Linked DNA regions of Oreochromis niloticus. The protein of the gene in region 1 purifies or fractionates together with the protein of each later gene. This does not show direct contact. Links are inferred from orthologs where the notes say so. Each region holds a gene or a part of one and is shown in the gene's direction. Other genes may lie near its edges. The genes, in order: ccnb2 and pkmyt1.

The links.
Region 2: the proteins of ccnb2 (region 1) and pkmyt1 purify together in Homo sapiens (affinity purification with mass spectrometry; 4 studies listed by BioGRID and IntAct, with this or other methods). This does not show direct contact. The link is inferred for Oreochromis niloticus from reciprocal best matches to the Homo sapiens genes CCNB2 and PKMYT1.

Annotation. Positions count from the first base shown.
Region 1 is NC_031965.2:3,387,877-3,396,279, reverse strand, and holds ccnb2 (G2/mitotic-specific cyclin-B2), read left to right. Parts: upstream 1-4,729; 5' UTR 4,730-4,897; coding exon 4,898-4,921; intron 4,922-5,079; coding exon 5,080-5,196; intron 5,197-5,975; coding exon 5,976-6,254; intron 6,255-6,322; coding exon 6,323-6,481; intron 6,482-6,554; coding exon 6,555-6,791; intron 6,792-6,954; coding exon 6,955-7,095; intron 7,096-7,164; coding exon 7,165-7,275; intron 7,276-7,350; coding exon 7,351-7,452; 3' UTR 7,453-7,787; downstream 7,788-8,403. Other genes in the region: cars1 (cysteine--tRNA ligase, cytoplasmic), read left to right, coding at 33-100, 465-524, 608-691, 1,236-1,364. UniProt on the Homo sapiens protein: Essential for the control of the cell cycle at the G2/M (mitosis) transition.
Region 2 is NC_031973.2:16,346,189-16,354,264, reverse strand, and holds the start of pkmyt1 (membrane-associated tyrosine- and threonine-specific cdc2-inhibitory kinase), read left to right. Parts: upstream 1-4,372; 5' UTR 4,373-4,482; intron 4,483-5,121; coding exon of another isoform or gene 5,122-5,124; exon of another isoform or gene 5,125-5,376; intron 5,377-5,671; exon of another isoform or gene 5,672-5,966; intron 5,967-6,533; exon of another isoform or gene 6,534-6,580; intron 6,581-6,663; 5' UTR 6,664-6,703; coding exon 6,704-7,072; intron 7,073-7,239; coding exon 7,240-7,477; intron 7,478-7,569; coding exon 7,570-7,843; intron 7,844-7,927; coding exon 7,928-8,034; intron 8,035-8,076. Other genes in the region: elongin-B, read right to left, coding at 2,725-2,833, 4,213-4,347, 5,122-5,124. UniProt on the Homo sapiens protein: Acts as a negative regulator of entry into mitosis (G2 to M transition) by phosphorylation of the CDK1 kinase specifically when CDK1 is complexed to cyclins. Mediates phosphorylation of CDK1 predominantly on 'Thr-14'. Also involved in Golgi fragmentation.

The DNA of each region.
Region 1 (8,403 bases):
GAGTGTTGAAAAATAAAGTGGTTGTGTTGCAGGCCTGCCCACTGTGGTGAAACTAGTGGACAAGGAGACATTACTGAAGGAGAGAGAGGAGAAGAAGAGGGTAAGAGAAGACATCATCACACATCGAGTGCATGTCTGGAGCAGTTTAGGTACTTCTAACTGGGAAGTGTATGCTTAAGATTGACAGGAGATAATTTATCCCAATTTAAAGTAAATGATAAGCCAGAAAAAATAAGTGCCCCCTCCCAAAACTAGAGGACGCTGAGTTACCATGGATATAAGGACAGGGATTTCAACATCTAACAGCTAGTTTGTTCAGACAAAAGAAATTCTTAGTTGATTTACAATTATAACACAAGTCCACTACAAGCCTTTGTTTTTATGTTAAAAGTTTTTATCTTTTCAAATATGCAAACAACATGTGTTTTAAAACATTTCACACAATAAAATTCCATCTTTCACAGATGGAAGAAGAGAAGAAAATGAAGAAGCTAGAGGCTGCTAAGAAGAAACAGGAGCAAGAGGTCAGTCTGATGGTTTTATATAGACAGTGACCTTCTACGTTTGTGTCATCAGGAAAATCTTCATGTTTCTGTTACTGTTTCAGATGGCGAAACTGGCCAAGATGAAGATCCCTGCAAGTGAAATGTTTCGCAGTGAAACAGACAAATACTCAAAATTTGATGAAACGGTAAATCCTTATTTTACCTCCCATGCTTAATTTTTCATAAGCTGGTCCCATGCTGGTGGTGAGGCTCGTGGGCCCCGATGACCTCAGAGATCTGTTGCTGAGGGCTTAAAACCTGGGATGTCTAAGAAAGCAAAGACAAAGATTAGCACCTGGTTCTCCAGGTTGTGAGGTGGTCATGGGGCCAACGACCCCACGCCACAAAATCATGAAGTTACAGCAATAAAAGTGGGGCTTCGGTGCTCACAGCAAGACGTGTGCCTGAGATCAGGTGTACCTGCGCTCAATGATGTGATACGGATCCAAGAGTAGGAAAGACCCAGCTCACAGGGATTTGCTTGTACAGACATGAATGTCCTTATTTGAAATGACTCCGTATTCAGTGTAGCTGTGTGTATGTCAGAACTTGAGGAAAATTCAGAAAGGTAATTTAAAGGCTGTTTATGTTTTTATTTTTTTCTGTAAAGTTACCATGGAAACGACAGCTCACAAACTGTGTCAACCTGAAAAGCTTTAAAGGTGTGTTTGGTTTTGTTGCTGTTAACAGGGTTTCCCCACTCATGACGTTGAAGGGAAGGAGCTCAGCAAAGGTCAAGCCAAGAAGCTCCGCAAGCTCTATGAGACCCAAGAAAAGTTACACAACGAGTATCTACAGATGAACCAAAATGGCAACTGATTCTGCCATTCAGCCAATCCATCCACACCGCAGGAAAGAACTATAGAATAAATAATAAGGCCAGAGGTTCATTCTGTGTCTCCTCTTCATCCTATTTTGGTTCAGGAAACCGACGTGTGTGTGTGGATTGTGTTTTGTCCATTTACGTAACAGTTACATTTACATTCCATAACCTTGCAACATGAGAGAAAACCACCACCGGACATGACTTTGTTCTTGCTCTGTTGGAGTTTGGCCGTCTTTTACAACAGTAAAATCAAAGCAACAGGTAATAAAGTGGGATTTTGATGATGTGGCGGTGCAGCCTCTGTTAGCAGTGTCTCTATATGTTTTTCTTGAAACTCTGTGATACTGCCATTTGTTCAAGTATTAAAGCATTTTTTTAACAGTTAGTGCTTTCATGAATTAAAGATGCTAAATGGGTGGCTAGCAGATTAATGGGGAACACCAGCATTAAATGTTTTTTCCACCATGAATCTTCGGGACAGCTTCATTAGGATACCCCAGGAGGAAGGATTTAAAACATTTACATTTCAGAGGCCACTTAAGAAACTAGGACTGTTGTGGAGCGCTGCACCAACAAGCTTATAAAGAGATCAAATGAATACTGAGTAGAACTGAGTTCAGCTTGTTGTTTCATACACTTTATCCTGCTGATCAGCAGTGTGTGATATACCACTCAAACTGTGTGTTTGACCTTTTACCTCACGGGTCTGTTAAAGTGACTATGTTGTGTCATTCAAATATAGTTCATTTTTATGCAAATGTGCATTTGTGAAAGGGACTTTTGCTTTTCTAATAACTGGATCAAATTTTCACCCCTAACAGGAGAAACAACCATTGAATTCATTGTTTCAGTTGTAGAGGTGACCTTTAAGAGAAACCATTACATGGTTTGTGTCTTTCTCAATACCTGTGTCACCTTATACAAGAGTTACCTTGAAAAGCTAATAAAGTATGGTGGACATTTTTTTTTTTTTTAAATTGAATGTACCCTCATTTAGGAGTGCCTGAACCTCCTCTGTAGACTCAAACCACATGGGCAATGGTATCAGCTAAATGTGTGCAGAAACAAAGGATATAGAGGAAAACTAGATGCATCCTCCCCTTAAGTAAAAAGCAATTGCCTCAGGGTTGCAGAAAATTAGTGGTACATTATACCCTGCTGTGCTTGGAGCACATGGGAACGAAAGTGATGTGTTTTTGGGTTGTTTTTTTTATATAACTAACTGAACAAAGAGAATCTGTTGGTCCTTTCGCTCACACCTCGAACCCCATCGATTCAGCAGTTCCCTAAAACATCTGGGTTCTTTATTTTGTGCCATCTCAACAAAAGGACATTTTTCATAGGCCATTTTCAGCTGTGGCCTAATGAAACGCTGTGAGATCAAGGAGTGGAATTGAAAATGCCACCAAACTCTCGAGCAGCTGGTTTTTGTTTTCTTTCTTTTAAAAAAATCACACTGGGACAATTTAACCCCTGAAACCTGTTGCATGGGTTCTTGTGGCTTGAGTAACACCACATGGCAAGGTGCATTTTGTTATTCAGCCGTCCTTCAGGGGTTTGCATTTTTGTACTATGTGTTCTTCATATCTGTGGTTATAAGATGACTTGAATTGATTTAAGGGATGCTCAAATAAAGAGTAAGCGAGTGCAGTGCTGTATGATTACTTGGTCAGCTTTGTGGCATGCTGTGACTGTGGATTCATGTTAAAGCTCCTAATAGGGAGATAATTTCATTATACCAGTGGTTGACAGATCAGAAGAATACCAGCCAAAGTAAACATGCAGGTGATTCAATACTTCTGCATCAGTTCACTTATTTTGCTGATTTAAAGGAATGTGGTTCTAATTTGAAGTTCACAAATTTAGGTTGCAGCTTTATTATTTAATAAAAATACACGTATTTCTGTGTCAAACATGTGTCCTGGCCCACATGGAAAACACACAGTGGAGTCCAAGAGTTTGAAGGCATCTTGAAAGTCTTTCATATTTTCTTGCCAATTCAGAAATAATCAGAACTTTTAAAGGTTTAAGAGAGAGAAAAAAGCATTTCATAGTGCAGAGGTTCCCAAAGTGTGGGGCCCGCCCCCTAGGGGGAGGGGGGGGCGGTATGAAAAGGAGAAAAAAAAAAAAGAGCGCTTGGACACTGTGGACAGGTTTTTGACGGGGCTCCCACACAAACGCAGAGCAGGAGATGAAGCATCGCCAAATATGTTTCCAAACCAACTTCCTTCCAAGCCAAAGACTAGAAAATATGGTGAAGCATATCTTCCCTTTGGCTTCACCTGCACAAGTGCCGAGGTAGGTCTCCCCTGTAAAATTAGTTTCCCTGCGTCGGGAGCAGCGCTGGGCTCTCCAAATCACGGACAAACAGGATCCCACATTCTTGATTTTTAGTTCACAAACACTTCTTGTAATCACTAACTACTCCTGACATTTTGGACATGTTAGCTCTTTATACAGTAAAGTTACAGTGGGATACAAATAATATCAGGCTGATCCTGCCGTAATTTGTTCTCCCCGTTCAAATCACGGACAAACGGTATCCCACAGCTGTTTATGTTTTTGAACCCATTTTGCACAGAGAGGCATTTTTTGAAAAATGTATTGACAGCAATGTTGAATATTATTACACAGGAAAAAAAACAACTACACGTAAAATAATTACACCGTGACGCCTCTGCCTTTCTAAATGCAGGGACAGTAACTACGTGTGTATATGTAAGCGTGTAAAACCTGAAGATAGTCAGATTAACAGTAACAGTATTTTGTCTCTATCTGCCATTCTGCAATTCATCTCATGTAAACAATAACGTGGCGCACAGCGTGACGTGAAAAGAGGCACATACCTTTGAGGTTGCGTGACGAACTCTGTATTCCTCGTCCACACGTAAACGCAAAAAAGGAGTTTTAAATAATCTCCGTTTTCGGTGAATCGCATCGCCGTTTACGTGTTGACGAAAGGCCCAAACGCATAGAAACAGCTGCGTTTTCAAAAATACCCGTGTAGGTGTGGACGCAGCGTAAAAGAGTTAGTAGTATATTTTATTACTACCTGTAATTTATTGCCGTTTACTTGTATTTGCTTAGTTGTTTACTAAATGTTTGAGGTGTGAAATAAACCGCAATGGAACAAAATATGGGTGTGTGTGTTTGGAGGATGTGGTTAGGTGGTGGGGGGGCGCGAACATTTTTCTTGTAAAAAAGGGGGGCCTGGCAAAAAAAGTTTGGGAACCACTGCTGTAAATGAAGCAATGACTGTGAAATAAGGTAACCGAGCACTTTAAAAGCTCATATGGCTTTAATTCCCACCTGAAATCATTAGCCAATCACAAGCGTCCGAACGAAATCGCTACATCCAATCAGATTTAGAGGACAACTATTTGAAAGCTGCTCGTCGCTGTGTTGTTTAGCTACGGAAATAACTGTTTACGGATTTTGTTGGTTAATTGCCCTCTGTTAGTCTGAAATATATGCTCTTTTGCTTGTTCTTGGTCACTCTGTATCCTCGTTGCTGCCCACGGTAAACATGTCTGTGGAAGTTCGTGATGCGGTGAGTAGAAAGACTTTTGTTTGCTAGAGAAGCGCTGCTGTTGGCTGCGTTGGCTAGTTAAAGCTAGCGCTTCAATAATAACGCTATCGTTTCAGTAATGTTAAACACGCTGTAGAAAAACCGGTCAAGCCTTTTATTGTGCATGTTTGTCTCGTTAGCAGCTCCTAACCGCAGAGAACCGGCAGAAACCGGGGAAAGCCGCCGCAGCAGCGGGTCCGAGGAGAGCAGCTCTCGGAGAGATTACCAACTTTAACGCAGCAGTGACTGTCACAAAGGTAAGAGCATCTTGGTTTGGTTCCTGTCTCAGTTTGTCTGTTTTGCAGTCACTTGGTAAATAGGCAAGAAAGTCTTATAATACAGGTCTAAGGAGCTTGGAAAGAAAAGCGTCTGGACTTCTTTGAGTTGCTTGGAGATGTTTCACCTCTCATCCGAGAAGCTTCTTCAGTTCTAAGGGTCAATGGTGGAGAGTCTCAGATTTAAACCCAGTGGGAGTTTCCCCCCCCAAAGAGGGACAAAGGACCCCCTGATGATCCTCTACCTAATCACATGAGCTAAGGTGTGAAAGTGGGTGTGGGTCCCAATCAGCCAGGGTTTCGGGTGAGCTTTTAAATCTGGGACTCTCCACCGTTGACCCTTAGAACTGAAGAAGCTTCTCGGATGAGAGGTGAAACGTCTTCAAGCAACTCAAAGAAGTCCAGACGCTTTTCTTTCCAAGCTCCTTAGACTACAATGACCTGGATGACTGAGAACCTTCAGACATATAATACAGGTCTGATTTATTGGTATGTCTGCTAGACTAAAAGTCATTTTACTGGCTGACTTTCAACCCAGACTTCATCATCTATCAACGTCTTTTGCAATGAACACAGACCTCGTCAATTCTTTTACCTGAGCCAAAGCAAGAACCTTGCAGCAGACTAAAATCCCCTTAGTGGTTTGCAAAAGGGAAGGTCGAAATAGTTGAACAGAACTTTATTCCTGTCCAATCTGAAAGTCTTATTAGTGCATCGTGTTGCATTTTCCAAGTGTAATGATTCCAAACTTGTTTCCGTAGAGAACAGGACAGACAAAAGTGTCAGCCAAGCCATCTTGTGTCCAAACGGCTAAACCTGCTGAGGTAGCGGTTCGACCGGTCCAAGCAGCTACAGACCCTCTTCCTCTGGTTTTGGAGCAATCTGCAACTGATGTGTCCATGAAGGAGGAGACTGAGTTGTGCCTGGCTTTCTCTGAGGCTCTGCTTGCGGTGCAGGACGTGGATGAGGAGGATGCCAACCAGCCACAGCTCTGTTCAGAATATGTGAAGGATATCTACAAGTATCTGCACAACCTGGAGGTAATTTCTTCCCCTACCTTCCGACACAGCTGCTGTCATCTCTGACTTACATCAGTTTGCCTTCTCAGTTGCAGCAGACGGTACGAGCAAACTACATGCAGGGCTACGAAATCACTGATGGCATGCGAGCGCTTCTCATCGACTGGCTGGTCCAGGTTCACTCCAGGTTCCAGCTGCTGCAGGAGACTCTGTACCTCACGGTTGCCATTCTGGATCGCTTTCTTCAGGTGATGTTTCTGAACAGCCTTGTCTATGGATTTGTGAACTGCATCTAAAAGGCTTCTTCTGGGTATGCTGCAGGTCCAGCCAGTGTCTCGCAGGAAGCTGCAACTTGTTGGTGTGACTTCCATGCTGGTGGCCTGCAAGTATGAGGAGATGTACGCCCCAGAGGTTGGTGACTTTGCCTACATAACAGACAACGCCTTTACAAAATCTCAGATTCTCGAGATGGAGCAGCAGGTTCTGAAGGGCCTGAAATTTCAGCTGGGGCGTCCTCTCCCACTGCACTTTCTCAGACGGGCATCTAAGGTGGCAAATGTGAGTTTCATTATGAATTTATTGCAGAGAAGACTTCAGTGTAGGAATTGGAAGACTTTCAATTGATAACTTGCATGTGTATCACTCTGTATTAAAGAAAAATGGCAGCTAAGGTGTTAGAGAAACTGTAAAAATCTTAAACCTTGACGTGCATGTTTATCAGTCTGATGTGGAGAGGCACACGCTGGCCAAGTATCTGATGGAGCTGACCCTGCTCGACTACAATATGGTGCACTACAGGCCCTCTGAGGTCGCTGCTGCTTCCCTCTGCCTCTCCCAGCTGCTGCTGGACGGCCTACCCTGGGTAAGTTTAAAGTCACTTTTTATGAACCTCTTGCTCCTTCAAGCTGGCTGTTAATTGACCTCCCATCAGTCTCCCACACAGCAGCACTACTCTACCTATGACGAGGCCCACCTGAAGCCCGTCATGCAGCACATTGCCAAAAATGTTGTGCTGGTAAATGAAGGGAAAACGAAATTCCAGGTGAGTTGGCTGAGGATAAACGCACCAGCTCGTATCATGTGTGTAGAAACTGACCTTGAGCTTTTGTCTCTGTAGGCTGTGAAGAAAAAGTACTCGAGCAGCAAGCTTCTCAAGATAAGCCTCATTCCTCAGCTCAAATCCTCAATTGTCAAGAACATGGCGGCAGCTGTACTCTGACTCAACTCATCTTTTTATGATCTGAGAATTTGAGCCATTTGTGTTGGCTTTTTTTTTTTTTTTTTTTTTCTTTCTAATGCACCTTGAACTGCCTATCTAAGCAAAAGCTGAGAAGTTGTTGCGCAGCTTCCAGAGGGATCTACAAACTGCTTCTGTGAAGTAAAATGTCCCAAAGTTTCTCATCTCTAACTTTTTATTTTTTCCCACCAGTGGAAGATTTTAACTATTGAATGATTAAAAGTGCCTGTTGGGCAGCAAACAGTTTTGCATCTGTTTGCATGTAATGTACCTTGTTGGAGATCTAAATAAAGTTTTAGATTGTTCTTAGACTTTAACTTTTGTCTTATGATTTTTGGCAAAAAACACACTAACCTGCTTTTGGTTTTACGTCACCATAGACAGAAGGAAAATATGGATGAGGCAACTGAAAAAGCCTGACTGTGTTCTTGGCATGCATCTCACTAAAAGGGCTCACAAATGGCTTTGTTGTGGAACCTGGGGGATATACCAGAACAGCTGGTTCTGAAAGTGAACCAAAAGTCTTGTGGAATAATATTTGCTTTGGAATATTCAACTAAGATGGTGGGGGGCGGTGTCCTTAACAAACATTTCTGTAGAAATGACATGAAACTGGAACTAGAGCCTAACTGGAGTGCATGATTTTTAAAGTGGTGCTAGGTATCCTTACTGTGGGTAAGGATTACTACATTACTGTTTTCAAAGAGACAATTTGGATGGTACAGCCCAAGGTATCCCCAACAATGCAGATCCTGACATCACTGGCACACAAACCCCTCCACTGCAGCAAGGTGGCAATTTATGACGGCTTCTGTGGAGACCAAAGGGAGCCCTCACCAATGATGGCAATTAAGAGTAATGGCTATACGCGTACAAGAGAAATGAAATGGCATTGGGGAAGCGGTATAGAGCAGGGGTGTCAAACATACGGCC
Region 2 (8,076 bases), on another chromosome or scaffold:
ATGTTACAGTGACAGGTTGGTTATCTCTGCACGCTGTTGTTTCTTTAAGATACATGTTTGGTTGTGCTGCAGGAAAAAGGGAGTTAATGTGTGCAGGAAGGGGAGGGGGGTCCTGTGTGTGGAGTGACTGTGCGGGGCTGAAGTGAGGTGTTGTACGAGAGCACTCTCCCCGGAGTTAACGGCCCGTTTGCCTGTGTCACTGAATAAAGGGACAAACTGAGATCAAAACGTCTGGTTCTTGAGAACGTTACAATATTCTGCAGTACATCAAAAATGAAAGAAAACCATTAATAAACATATGAACGTTACCTCTGACGTTACCTCTGACGTTACAGCGGTTTTATTAGAGACACGGCTAAGCGTTTTGCATTTTACATAATTTTAAAAAGTTTAAATTTGTTCAGTATTGAACAGCAGAAATTAGGTTTTCTTTTCGGAAGTAAGTAAAAGGAAAAAAAAAACAGCGGCCGACAGCGCTGTAAACAACGGTAGACTTGTGCGTAACAAGCAAGCGAATAATGCAGAAAATAGATTTTTAGACGGGAAACTGTTCTTGAAGTACAGAGAGAGAGAGAGAGAGAGAGCGAGAGCGAGAGAGAGAGCTGTGCATGAAGTGTGATTTTATCGTGGTGGAAGCAAAACAGTAAAAGAGTGAATTCATGACGATGTTTATGTGAAGCGTAGTTTGGATCTTCTTTTGCTGCTGGTTCGGTCAATATTGTTTGGAGAGAGATAAAACTAACAGCTTTAGAATCAGCGCAAAAAGGGCGTAAACACAAAGCGCGGACCCGCCGACAGATCAGAACCAGCGAGCTGTCAGCTTTCAGCCCCGACCGTGTCCGTGCTGTCAGGTGAGAAAGGCGACATCTCACTGATTCTGATCCGCGGGTCGCGCTGTGTGTTTACGTCTTTGTGCAGAATCCGTGTACCTGCTCTCATTTACTGTCTTAGCTGTTTGGTGGTTGTTGAAATTTGAGGTTTCACCTGAGATTCTGGAATTTCGGGCAAAATAAATTTATATTAAAAGATCGATTCAGGATTTTAATGAATCGATTTCACGTTATCCAAGCCAGAATCGATTTTAATCGATAAATCGATTATAAAAACCCACCCCTAATCAGTTCATTACCAGGGCTCTGGAGAACTTCAAGACATGTTGAGGAGGCAATTTAACCATTTGAATCAGCTGTGTTGGATCAAGGATACATCTAAAATTAAGACATCTAAAATTTCAACATGTTTTGAAGTTCTCCAGAGCCCTGGTAATGAACTGATCATTTGATTCAGGTGTGTTGACCCAGGGTGAGATCTAAAACCTGCAGGACACTGGCCCTCAAGGCCTGGAGTTTCCCCACCCCTGCTTTAGAAAGACTACATTAAAAAAAACACAAACCACACCCCAAAGTAGAAACTCATTGCAAGAAAAGTGAATCCACCTGCAACCGATAACACAGAAGTTAAAAAATCAGTGATGAATGAAACTAAATTTTATACGTAGGTCCGTAACAGTGTTAAAAAGTAAACTGTGTAGAATGAGATTTTCTCAACTATGGATGCTTGTGCTGTGTCTGCTTCATTCCTCTTTAAGGAAATGAATCAACAAAGGAACTGCAGAAAAATCAGTCTGAAGACACATGTGGCCATAAGGAGATGGTACAAGCAACAGTGCTTGAGTGTCTGTCTTCCCAGAATGATGCTAGGGCCAGTGCACTATTTATATAATGTAACTCTGCAAAAGTAAAGGAAAAATGCCTTTAATTTGGCACAGGACTTATCAGAGGAAAGCAAAGTTTCTGTGACAGTTTGAAGGACATTGCACAATGTCAACTTCCAAGCATCACATCCTGGGGAATAAATAAAAACCCTTACTTGCGCTTCAGAACAAAACTTCAAGATTCACCCGTAAAGAAATAAAAAGAGAGAGCTTGCTTGCGAATATTTTGAGTCCTTTCTTTGCTCAAATGGAAATAAATCTGTTAGGTTCACATAAAACACCAGCACTTCTGACATGAAAAAAGCAGGCTGCCAACATGACACATTAGTTCCTTAAGGAGAAAACAGTGAAACTATGAGCTGGCCAAGTATGTTGCCTGACTCAAATCCAAGAAAACACTACTGAGGTATTTTTAAGACAAAAGGAGAACAACACAGGCCCTCCATGTTAAAGAAACTGTCTCTAAAGAAAGGAAGAACATCTTTATATAAAAATAAGGATCAATGGTATCACCCACCAAATGTAAATGTGGACATCTCAAATTATCTTGGTAATAAAAGGTGTGTTTCTTATAGGTGAGTTCCTATAGTTAAGCCTGTATTTTAATGAAGTAAACTGAGGTACTTTTAACTGCTCCCTTATTTCCCAAGAGGCCGCCATAGCAGAGGGAGCCACATGTTTGATTTGGAACAGATTTCATACCAAATGCCCTCCCTGACGTTACCCTCCCATTTATCTGGGCTCGTACTGGCAGTATACAAGCTTGCAAGCCCCTGAGGCAGGGTTTGTGTCTCCTCAGGTCATTCACATGTCTTATCCACTACACCGCTACTTTAACACTGTAACTCTAAACTGTTCTGATTTTAAATAAAGAGTAAATACATGACAGTTCAACTCTAAGAACAATTTTTATATTAAGATATTTAAGCAATGGTTCATAGGAATGTACTCATTTTTGTTGTGTAGTGTACCTCTGATCTTTAAAACCAAACAGCATAACCACAACATACCATTAATACGAAATGCCAGACCGACTGTAGCTGGGGCTTGAGGTCTGGCAGTCTGGTTGGTGAATCCAGAGTCACCCAGAGTTTTGCTATCCTCTAGCAGCTGATCATCCTGTAATACAAAAATATCATGACCTCAGAATATAAGAAGATAGTCCAACTAATATGCAGAGCGTGTTTCTGATAGAAAATATTTAAGTAAGCAATGTTTATTTACAGAGTTACAAATTACTGTACAGGAAAATAAGTAAAAACTGGGAACAACCACAATAAAATATATTAGAAAATTAAAACATGGTTCAATAGCAATACAAAACCAAAAATATTACAACACAATCTAAATACTTAAAAAACATTTCAATGACTTTTTCAAGAAGTCTATAGAGCGAGCTAAATATAGCTGGAGTGACAGACTGATCCATAGTCTTGGCTGCCACAGACTGAAAGGCTCTATACCCCAGTCTTCAATCTTGTATGAGGAACAAGTAATATATTTTGAGCCAGTGAGAAGCAGTGTGTTTAATGAGAAACTGAGATTAGTAGTCTGAGCTTGATTTAGTGCTCTGTATGTAAATATGAGAATTTTAAAACGAATTCTAAAATCAACTGGGAGCCGACGTAAAGAGCATAAAACTAGAGAGTACGTCTGCATTAGGAGTCTGGATGCAGCATTTTGTATCATTTGGAGGTATGAAAGAGATGATTAATCTAAGTGGGTAAATAGGGTGTTCCAGTAATCTAGGCACGAAGACACAAATATATTAATAATTTTCTCCAGTCCAGCATGGAAGACCATAGCTTACAATTTGGAAATCTTCCTTTAATGAAAGAAACCGGAAAATGACATAAAATATTACAGAGCGATTACAAACACTGGACTTCAAAGATGAGCAAAAGGAGGCAATCGCTTGACAGGTTCTTGAATATATTTTAGGAGGAGTTATAATCCTGGTCTCAGTCTCACTTTAGTTTAAAACAAGGTAACTGCTGGAAAGCCAGACATTAAATCATTATAAACAATTAGCTAGGGTGGACAGTCTATCCAGCTGGTGAGGCATAAAAGACATTTCAGCATGGAAATGACAAGTAATGCCCCTCAAAGATTTGAATGATCCCAGCTAAAGGAAGGATGTAATAGACCCAGGTTTGAGCCTTGTGGAACTCCACAGGTTAGAAAAGCTATATGAGATCAAGCAATATGAGCACAGAACAATGTGCCGCATCAGATGCCAGCTTTTAAAAACCTGACTGAAAGGGATCAGAAATCTGTCATAGGTAAAAGAATCTAAATAGATTTTCCACAACCACAAATTTTTCTAATAATTTGCTATTCAATGGTAATTTTGAAATAGGTCAATAATTACCAATATTTACCATGAGGTTGAAGTTTGTTGGGGTAATATTCAACTACTGTGAATGTTAACATTAACACTGGCTACATTCTGGCAAAATTAAAGTGCACATTTAGTCTTTCTAATGCTGTAAGCTCACTTTGTAGAGTCGTTGGTCCTCGGGTGGTCTTTTAAGTATTCCCTCGACAATACGCTTCAGCTCATAGACAGTAGTGGACTCCTTGGCATCGGTGAAGATTGTGGTCTTGTGACGCCGGATCATTAAGAACACGTCCTGAAAGGAAAAAAAGGGGGGCACACAATGTAAAAACCAGCTACATTTGCTCATTTACCAAGAAGTTGAGGACTGGATTCTATGAAACGTTACTCCACATTAAGAACGTCTATCCACAAAGATTGCCGTTCTTGGGTAAGTATATATTATGACCAACAATAACCCCGTTTTATTAGACAAAACATCTCATTAGGCCACGAAACTCGTTAATATTGCATGTCTATCCGGAAACTGCTTAAACACCTAACCTGACTGTACAGTAAACGCGAAGATATTTAAATGGTTATTTTACAATAATCTTTAATAACGGATTCTGTAATAGATATTCTGATAAGTGTCACTTCATTTATTTATATGCTAGCAAATAACAGTGAGCAGTGTGAAGCAAACGTAGCTCTGGGCTAGCGCGATATTAGCCGACACGTCAACTGTTTTGATAGTTCGGTGGAAAACAGCCCTAGCTAACACACGGAATAGGTCTGACAAATACAGTACACACTCAGCTAACCACATTATATTGCCTGGGTTAATTAGCTAGCTAGCGTTACAGCATTTCCAAGGTTAGCCGAGCTAAGTTCCCTCGCTAGCTACACCCCCTGGTTATGGATTTAAAGGCTAAGCTAGCAGAGCAAAAGTGAAATTAACATTTCTATAGCCAACAGTATCCGCTGTTATTATCGCGTTAATACGTTTGAACACATCGCCGAACGTTAATAGATTGTCGAGATCTACGTACGACTCTCCCAAACTAATCGGCAATAATATTAAAGTTACCATTTCAAGTGGTCAGCTAGCTAGCCAGTTACGCCAGCTCTGTGTTGTGCAGCAGAAGCCCAGACTGCACCGCTCTCGGATATTGCGCAATGTACATGCGCAACTCGTACATTCCGTATTCACGGAGAGCAGCTACGCAGCGCTACGTGAGAGTTTCAGAATTTGGCGCGAGGTAGGTTGAGGCTTGAAGGGTTTGGATGGATAGAAGACCGCTGTTTTGAAACCTGTCGTCAAAAGTGGACTATGGTCTGCGGGGTAACGTTGTTTAATTCCGCTTTAATTAAATAATTAAGTATAAAATGTCAGTTAGCGTAAGTTATCTTCACGCGGGTTAGCCAGCTAAGCAGGTTGTGTTGTCATGTTTGTTTTGTTCCGCCCGGTGTTAACGTTAGCCACAAGTGTTTAGCTGAGATGACAGTTGTCATTGCTATAAATTAATGGACAGTGTTTGTGCTTCGAGTAATGTTACGTTAACAAAGCGAAAAGTTATGTTGGAAAAATTAATCAGTTGTGTTTTATCAGCGGGTCTTTACTTTCCACTTGACGCCAGGGGCTGGGCTGGGCAAGGAATACCTGTTTTCCTACAAATGGGTTTAGTATCAATGGATCGAGAGGACTGTGCTGATACCGATATCAGACAAAAGCTCTACAACCTGTCAAACCAGATGTACCAGGTGTAGTGATAAATGGGTGGGGATCAACCTACAAAGACCCAGTTTTTTTTTTGTTTTTTGTTTAGTCTTTATAAATAATACGTTTGCTTTTGCTCTGCGGAGATAGAACTAGATGAAAAGAAACCATTATAATTGAGCACTAAGTGTGAAAAAAATCAACTTCCAGTTGTGGTGAGAAATTTATAAATACCCATACAAATACCATGTTGATTTGGAGCTTTTAATGATTTATTTGAACTGTTTTTTTTCCAGGGTGGAAGGATTGTGCTGCAAACATCTTTAATTACAAAAAAAAAAACAAGAATTGGGTGCACAAGTTTGAATTTATTTGGGATTTTCTGTAATCCTATGTGTTCTCTTGTGTTGTCAATGATCCCAAGTACATATCCAAACTGGTTTTGGAATGGATTTTGCAGGCTAACACGGAACATTTGAATGGCCTTCCCAAAGCTCTGACATCAACCCTGTAGGAAATGTACTGACAAGGTTTAAAAGCAGAGTCTGTGCCAGGAAACCAACTGATTTAAATGAATTCCGTCAATTCTGTCAAGACGAGTGGTCAGATATCCAACCACAATTATGCCAGATGCTTGTTGATGGGTACCAAGGGGGTCTAATCGAGGTGCAACTTGCTCAGGGACATTTAACCAAATATAAGTGGCGGAATATACTCTTGTGTGTCTTAGAGAAAATCTAAAATAAATCCAAACTCGTTTACCCAATTCTTCTTTTTTACAGTCACTTAAGATGTATGCTGTAAAATCATTCAACTATAAAAAGAGAGTGTATGTAAAATTCTGACCACATCTATATATATGTTGCTTTATGTGTTGCTTACGTTTACAATTTTTCCTCTTGACTGTTGCAGCTTGCTGTCTTTATAGTAAAGAACAGAAAAGGTCTACACGATGTCTGTGGCGGTGGAAACTACAGTGCCCAGGGTGGCTCTCCCTCTTCCAACCCACTTCTCCCACGCGGAGCAGTCCTTCTCTCTCAAAAAGCGCCGGCTGCCTTTATCCTCGTCGTCTACGTCAAACTCATCCTACTATTCCCCTGCTCGTCTCTCAAATTCTTTGCCCCCGCTGCCACCGTCTAAAGGATGCCCCCCGCTGAGCAGAATGTTCCCTCAGCATCAATCCCCCTGGACACCCCTGTCTAATTCCCTCAGTAAATCTCCAAATTCTGGCTATGATCCCAGCAAACAGCAGTCCTACTTCAATCAGTGCTTTACCAACTTGGGCCTGCTGGGGAGGGGATCATTTGGAGAAGTTTACAAGGTGAGCAAAACACAGATTTAAATAAAGAGAGTTATATAATAACATCATGTGTTTGGTGTTGCTGTTTCTTCACATCAAGGAAACTGAAAAATTCAGGATTTTAAGTATTTGTTTGTTCATTTTTTTCAAAAGTTGTAATTTCTGGATATTTTCTTTTCTCTCTCCAGGTGCAAAGCAACAGAGATGGTCGTCAGTACGCAGTCAAACGCTCTGCTCAGCGCTTCAGGGGTAACAGTGAGAGGAATCGGAGCGTCAGGGAAGCCAGGAATCATGAGCGCCTGTGTCCTCACCCTCATATTTTGAACTTCGTGGCTGCCTGGGAGGAGTGCGGCCGACTCTACATCCAGACAGAGCTGTGCAGCACCAGCTTGCTGCACCACGCTGAGAACCAGCCTCCTGGCCCAGGTCTGCCCAAAAACAGTTTGTATCAGCTGTGATTTTCTATAAAACTTCTGCATCCTCGTTCGTGCTGACTTGTGTTTTTTGCTTGTAAACAGACGAGCCTGCTGCTTGGGCCTACCTGTGCGATCTCCTCTCAGCACTGCAGCACTTACACTCTCATGGCTTCGTGCATCTGGACCTCAAGCCCGCCAACGTCCTCATCACCACCTCTGGTCGTCTGAAGTTGGGCGACTTCGGGCTGCTGCTTGAGCTCAAACAGATGGGAGCTGCAGGGGAGAAAGCAAAGGACGATGTTCAGGAGGGTGATCCCAGATACATGGCCCCCGAGCTGCTGCGTGGGGAGTATGGACCTGCTGCAGATGTTTTCAGGTACATATGTGATTCATTATGTACAGATGTGATTGATCTGATTTGAAATAAGTGTCTAAATATGATCACATCCTTTTCATTTAGTTTGGGGGTTTCCATCCTGGAGCTTGCCTGTAATATCGAGGTTCCAAACGGTGGCGAGGGGTGGCAGCAGCTCAGGCGAGGCAGTCTCCCCACAGAGTTTACCAACGGTGAGATCTGCTCTTGGAGGCCTCATCAATTTCCTCGTTGTC